Linked DNA regions of Nothobranchius furzeri. The protein of the gene in region 1 interacts with the protein of each later gene in a biochemical or structural test. Links are inferred from orthologs where the notes say so. Each region holds a gene or a part of one and is shown in the gene's direction. Other genes may lie near its edges.

The links. The genes of interacting proteins can lie anywhere in the genome.
Region 2: the proteins of arhgap1 (region 1) and bnip2 form a complex in vitro, tested with the Homo sapiens proteins (2 studies listed by BioGRID). The link is inferred for Nothobranchius furzeri from reciprocal best matches to the Homo sapiens genes ARHGAP1 and BNIP2.

The regions. Positions count from the first base shown.
Region 1 is NC_091743.1:81,736,646-81,740,622, reverse strand, and holds the start of arhgap1 (rho GTPase-activating protein 1), read left to right. Parts: upstream 1-1,177; 5' UTR 1,178-1,294; intron 1,295-3,977. UniProt on the Homo sapiens protein: GTPase activator for the Rho, Rac and Cdc42 proteins, converting them to the putatively inactive GDP-bound state. Cdc42 seems to be the preferred substrate.
Region 2 is NC_091744.1:67,581,393-67,584,892, reverse strand, and holds part of bnip2 (BCL2/adenovirus E1B 19 kDa protein-interacting protein 2), read left to right. Parts: intron 1-2,865; coding exon 2,866-2,961; intron 2,962-3,063; coding exon 3,064-3,128; intron 3,129-3,441; coding exon 3,442-3,500.

The DNA.
Region 1 (3,977 bases):
TGGGCATGGTTTAAATGCCACGGGCTAGCTGAGCATTGTTTCTGACCATGTCCATCCCTTCATGACTACCAATCAATCAATCAAGTCACATCATTACTGAATTGAATATACACTATACCTGGACTTATAGTCGTCCTAACTCCTTGATTCTGTCACTGTTCCTCTCAAAAGGAACAGTGTAGAGCTGCTTCATCCGCACTCTGTGTTTGGACAATGCCCGTGTAATGGTTGTGAAGCTGATGCCATCAATATTGTCAAATATCTCATGGTCCTCCACTATTCTAGTCTGAATTTCATGCACTTTCATTGCATTATTTGCAACAAACATTTAGCTCTTGATCATTACTGAGGAGCATTCCTCTTCCTCCAGAGGGTGGAAGACGTTGCATTCTATAGAGGGGAAAAATGCATTACTATATGGTCTTATTTATACTGCAAGTTACAATAGAAGCAATCCATTATAAATGCAATACATACCTGTTGGTTTGTTGAAAGATGCGTATAATGGAGGCAACCACTGACCTCCTCAAATTGGGCTGCACTCTTTCACCAGCCTCTCTTAGTGAAAGACCATGGTTGATTACATGGTCAATGATGGTGGCACAAATTTCATCACTGACTACTGTTCTTGCAACCCTTGGAATTCCACCACCACACATTCTTATGCCTCTACCTTGCCCTCTCCTTGGACCTGCTCCTTTCACTGGGCCTGCTCTGTTCCCTTGGCCCCGTCCTTGTCCTTTTCCAGACATTGCAGTGTTTGTCCTTTCTGTTTTGTTTTTGCTATTGTGGGATGTTGTGTGTTAACATTCGCAAATACTACAAAAACAATCCATAGTTTCGTTGGGAGCAATAGCTTCTCTGTTAAGACAATGTAAGCATTATGTAAATCTGTTGATTGACTGCATATTGTGTGAAAACAACATGGAATGTGTGAATTGTGTGGCCACAAAACACTGATGCTGTGCTACTTGTATTTAGAATTTTGAAAATGTGACAGCTGGTTGGACAAATGCTTTAGCAACTGAAAAAAACTGTAAAAAGCACCAGCTAGTTGGGATTTATTTTTTAACTGCAGTCCCCCTTAAATCCTCCAGAGTGGGTCAATCCCATTGGCTGTAGCCTCAGCTCCAGGTGGCTGTTATTTTGAAAGGGAGTGAACGGAAATTTCTCCTTTTATTATGAAAATAAATCGGATAAGGGGTTGGCGCAGGCAGGTTTGTTGCTGTGACCAGAAACGACTTGGGGCGAAACGCAGTGAATGGTTACTGAAGAACTACGCACAAACAAAACGGTAAATCAACGATGTTTTGTCCTCTGCCGTGACGTTAAATCAGCTTTATCAAACCGAAACGTCAAAACGGGGGCGCGAGGCGGCTGTAGTCGTGCGCGCGCTGCTTCGTGCTCGTTTGTTGACTGATAAGGGTGGTGTTTTGGTTAAATCAGTAACACGGTCCAGTTGGACTACGGTGAATGCAATCATTCTCAGCTGCAGCTATGAACCCTAACAGTTAGGAGTGTTTATTAGAACGTGTGTGTCAGGTCTGCTGGTTTTACCCGCCGTTTGTTGCACTGCATCGCTGCTAATGTGGCTAAAGCTAGCTCTGTTACAGCTGCGTTACCGCAGGAACCCAATGATCTGGTGGCTGATTTTATCTGTCTTCTGCTCTACGCTGAGAAGGAAATGATTCGTCTTTGATGCTCCACTTCCAATTTGTCCAGCGCAACATTTTATGTACAGGCGTAAAAAGTACACACCCTGTAATTCTAAGAGTTAAAGGTCCAGGATATTAAAAGATCTGGTCATAACTTGCCTTCAGAGTTGGGTAAATATTTCTTCAGGTAACAAAATGAGTCATCACGCTACACCTCTGTTTAACTATACCTAAACCAATATGCGTGAGGTCTGGAGCATACAGGTGTGTGTTAACAGTTCCAAAGAGGAAATGCTTCAGCAGCCACTGCTGCTCATCTGTCTGGGAAAGGTTAAAGGTCAATTTCTTCATTCTACAGAGAGAACTTTAGATAAAAGAAAACAAACCCCATCTTTCCATTGGATGCGGAAGCATCACGTAAAGATGTGTTTTACCCACAAGCTCTTTTCCCACTGGGAGCATTATAGACACGTAACGGCAGCAAACGCTTTCCACGCAGCTGGGCCGTGATGTCACAAAATGACCAGAGAATTGCACGACCACTGGTGACATCAGCAGTTCACATGATCACAAGTAAGGAGAAAGATAGCAGCATGTATCTGAAAAGCTTTGTTTTATCTTCTGTTATAAGAAGATTTCACAGGTGATGTATTATTATTTTTTTACTAGATATCTGAATGTCGAAGTCCTTGGACTTCCAGGCACCGAGGTCCGTAGAAGAAACTGTGGCCCCACTAAACTGGTCTTAGAGTTGTCTCTAGGTCACAACAGATGGATGGAACCACACGTCTGGGACTCTTAAGGAGTCTAAACAATATCAGCTTGTTTTGCTGGAACTGTTACGGTATCAGCTTCGCAGGTGCAAAAAGGTTTTAACGTGTCAAAAGCTTTGATGGGTTAAAGAGGGTTTTGCTTCAGATGGCCGGTCTGAAGCTTCCTCTAGAACTGCTGAATCACCAGAGTGATCCAGTTTTAATGTTCTCATGTTATGATTTGTGTAGCCAACCAGAGGTTGACAAGTTTGAGGAATATTACCAAGAGACTCAGAAACACACGCCTTCTTAGATACCGGAGGCTCTGATCTGGGGTAAAGGGCTATCAATGTGTCACGAGTTTAACTTAACCTTACTTTGTTCTTGTGTGAGTTCAAATGGTGATGACCTTGTTATATAAACATGCTGAAACATATTTCAATCACTGTAATCATAACATAACATTCATTTCCAACTTCAATCATTGAGCACAGATTAATGAAACAGTTCATTACATTATAATTATTAGAAGTAGCAGTAAACAAACGTTTATTTAATGATTATCTAGCTTATAAGATTTAGAAGTTCATATTTAATTTAGGAAATCATTCTTTGATTTGCCAACTGATCCGAGCTGCGAGTGTTAGGCATGAAGAATCCTGTAGGACGATGAGGATGGACCTTGAGGAGCGAACAGTATTGTTGATAATTCGTTATCATGAGTTCAGAGCTGTAGAGAGGCTCTGAACTCCAGCTGATGGGATGAAGGCAGGCCAATTTAAAGGGAACACATGCAGTCTCGTGTCTCCTTTCTGACCAGATGTTGAATGGTCAAACAGTACCTAAAAACTGACCATTGCTGGACGTTACACCATGTAGACCAGAAGGGAGTGGACTCGATTTCGGATTTATTCCCACACATAGGAAACGGAAGCTAGTGTGTTTTTACATGTATTTTTAGCATGAAATATATTTTAAAACTATGAAAACAGTAAAAGCTCAACGACACAACTGCTTTAGGCTTTTAATTTTTGGGACAGCTAGATAATTCACGTACTTGTAGTTAAAAATGAATCGTCTCCCACTTCGTCCACCATTATTACAACAAAAAGAATGTCCAGTTTGGCCAGCACTTACTGTTGGACAGCCTCTGTCATCACTGTGATGTAATTGGTCTTCAAATGCGGCTTTGGCAGGATGCAGCCTCTGAATTTAGGCATAGCCAGCAAGTCTGACTTGTTTGGTTGATTGTGGAAATAAAGATAATCATTATGATTTAGCAAAATCCATCCATCTAATCATCCATTTTCTTCCAAAGGGGTTCAAATGAAGGCAACTGAACATCTTCAAAGAAGTCCAGTTGCCTTCATTTGAACCCTTTTGGATTACAATGACCTGGATGACTAAGAACCTTCACCAGCATATGCATATCCATTTTCTTCTGCTTATCCAGAGTCTGGTTTTGGGGGTAACAGCCTAAAGCCTGGTTCATGCTTCTCCGTCAGCTCCGCAAGGGACAGACTCGCACGGATTGACGGAAGCGTTTTGCCCTCATACTTCTCCGTCTCCT
Region 2 (3,500 bases), on another chromosome or scaffold:
GAATCAAAATAAAAAAACTTTGAACGATTCCGGGAAAAACTAACAGTTGGTCCCGGTTCCAGTCGATGCTCGGTTCTTGATGCTCGATGCCCAACCCTAGTAAAAAGCTCCAAAAAGTGGATTTTCAATTCTATAGCCCCTTTAAAAGACAGTTCTATGTTCAGGAACAGGGATAAGGTTATTTAATTTGGTTCTCTGTTAAATGTGTTGATGAAACTACAAACAAGTTGGCTGATATTCTTTGTAATCTCACACAGATGGCACCTTTATAAAGTTCACCTTTGTAAAGTACCATTTAATGGAACAGAGCTGCATGGATTAAGACATTTTTGTTTATTTTGACTTCATTATCTGACTTCCATTCCAACATTCAACAATCCAAGTGTTGCAACTTGCACTTGGATTGTTTCTTTTCCTGGGAACGGCATTCCTTTCCCATCTGGTTTCCGGTGTTGTATAGAGATCAGCAGAAAGCTTAACAACCATTTCTCTGAAATGTTAAATGTGTAGGATACCAATATGTGCATGACTGCATCAAAGGGGGCTTTGTGCAGCAGGGGTACTGTGGTTGGCATTAGTTAGTCTTGTTTTTGTGATTTAAGCTTCTAAGCTGTTTAGGAAGCCACTTACATGAGTGTATACTGTGTTGTATGTTAATTAGAAAAATGAGCTAGCACACTTCCTCAGTGGAGAACCCTGAGAACAATATCTGGTTAATAAGGTGGCTTTTGTGGGGAAAAGATTCATGTGTAAAGCCTCAAAACACAATTTCTAACTCCGAGAAGCTTTAATATAGAAAATTATGTCAGTCAAAAAGTAAAAACGCACAACTTGAGATGCAGCATGGATATTAATTGTTCTATTAATGTGTGATTGATTTTAATCAGCAGTAGCTCAGGAGGTACAGCGGGTTGTCCAGTAATCGGAAGGTTGCAGGTTTGATCCCGGCTCTGACCAGAGAATGCTGCTGTTGTGTCCTTGGGCAAGACACTTAACCCACCTTGCCTGCTGCTGGTGGTCAGAGGGACCGGTGGCGCCTGTGGTCAGCAGCCTCGCCTCTGTCAGTGCGCCCCAGGGCAGCTGTAGCTACACCGTAGCTCATCCCCACCAGTGTGTGAATGTGTGTGTGTGTGAATGACTGAGTGTTGTAAAGCGCCTTGGGGCGGGGGGGTAAAACTTTAAGAAAGTGCAATACAAATACAGGCAATTTACCATGTAATAATGGTGTGCTGCAGAAAAATGAATAAGGACTTGATTAAAAAATACACAATTTAAATCTAAATAAATATATTTGCTCCTAAAGGAGGGTCGGGCAATTAATCGAAAATTTATCTTTATCAAAATTTCTGACTCTTATCGAGGTAATTTCTCCCATGTCAATAAATTTGATAATAAGAAAGTGAAAAGATGTGGCGACATTCATGTCCCTTTAAGACGCTGTACCACCTTGAGTCACGTAAAAATGTGACTCAACGTAATACACGTGACAGCACCATCTAGTGGACAACTTTTGGTTTTTGTACATACCTGTATTTATCGTCCATTTATCGTTATCGAGGTGAAATCCTCAATATGTCGTGATATTAGTCCATATCACCCAGCCCTACCCTAAAGGCTTTTCTTTATTAGGTAAACATATGTAACGTACCAAAAGGGTCAATTTGCTCTTATATATTGACCAACATACCTTTCGTCTACAGCAATAAATCCACTTTCTGTTTGGCCTTCCAAACCCAGAAGGTTCTGTTCAGTGCGTGTTTACATACTGAAGACAAAACATTCTCTCCCAAGGTCCTACACACTCTGCATGAATGTCAGAAGTCAACAGTCTTCGCTCTGAATAAGTGAACACTTCATGACTTTTACAATTCATAAGCTTACAATAATCATGTGTGGTGTCAAATTCTGATTGGCAAAACTTGGCCAGAAATCATAACAAAGTAGTTTAATAAAACAAGACTTACTTCCCGATTAATTCAGTTTCCAGCTGACCCCCGATTCGGCCAAATCGGGAAAGAAGCCACTTACACACTAGCATCGGCTCCGCTCCGCCCGCCCCAGCCTGGCCGCGTTCCACACTGCCTTAGGAATGCGGAAGTGATTGAGCACATGAGCGGTCTCCAAAATTGGCATGAAAAATGGATATCAGTGATGTCATGAGTGCATCTCCAAGCGTGTTGGCAGGGCAAAAGAGCGTGCAGAGAAGTGTGCGGTTTCACCTTTATTAAACAAGCAGCCTGAGCAGTCTTGCTTTTGGAGACTCTCTGACTCTGATATTGCATCCTGCTTTGTTGTGTCTGGCAGCACTCTGTGTGCGTGTGTGTGTGTGTGTGTGTGTGTGTGTGTGTGTGTGTGCGTGCGTGTGTGTGCTTCCTCACAGCAGTGGCACAAAGAAAAACTCCAGTCAGAGGCTCGTTAATTCCACAGCATCCAGAATGATTATGAATCGTGGGCTGATTCTATCCACCAATCGGAGGCGCCCCCGAGTGGTAGGCATCAATTTGAGCTGGCCACTCAGTCAGTAGTGGGCGTATTGGACCAGTTTGGCTCCAGGCAGACCGCTTTGGGAAGAGGGCAGAAAAGACGTCCGGTTGCGTGCGGGAAATGAGAACACTCCAAACTCGGTCTAGGCCGAGTGGAGAAGATGCTAGTGTGAAAGTGCTAAAAATGAGTGGACTTTGTCTTTAAGGTTTCATTTAAAATTCCACAAAAGTTTTGCAAGTCATCATTGCAAGAAAACCAATTATTCATGTTGCTCTGCTCCAGAATTTGAAATATTTAATTTTTCTAAATCCAAAAAGTCTTTTTTGAATCATCACTGTGAAGTATGGAATATCAAATCCATCTTGTGATTCCTGTCTTTAGCCTGGAGCGCCAGGAGTTGGTCAGGACCACGGAAGCTCGTTTACGAATGGAAGGAGTCGAGCTGAAGGAAGAGTGGCAGGACGAAGATTTTCCACGGTAATTTCAGTCACGTGTATCGGTGCATTGTCATAATCTAGCAATGTGTTGTTTCTTTTTAAATGTTTTAAACAGTCATGATTACTTCTGATTAAACGTTAGGCCCCTCCCAGAGGAGGAAGAGCTTGAAGAGGAGCTGTTTGGAACTTCTGAGGAAGTCGACCCTGGTAATCAAGTCACTTTGTACATTTCTGCAGAAAACCTATCTGTGGTCCCTCACCCCTGTCAGATCCCACATGGTAATAGGTTAAGAGAAATGTTGCTGCTCCTACGCTTTTCCCTTGCTTTTGCATTTTAAAGTTCAACTGTAACTACGATGAGGGCTCAGCAGCCTGACTTGTGTAAGTTATGACTTATTCTAAGTATTGCATTTATTTCTGCAGAAACCCCCGTGAGTATCAAATCAGAAAAAAAAAACACCATTTATCTGCTTTTGGGAACTAAATCAACCACCACTAAGCATATTTTTGTCTGTTTTAGGCTTTGCAACAAACCACAGCAAGAAGGCAAAGAAAAAACTCAGTGCTCCAGACATCAGC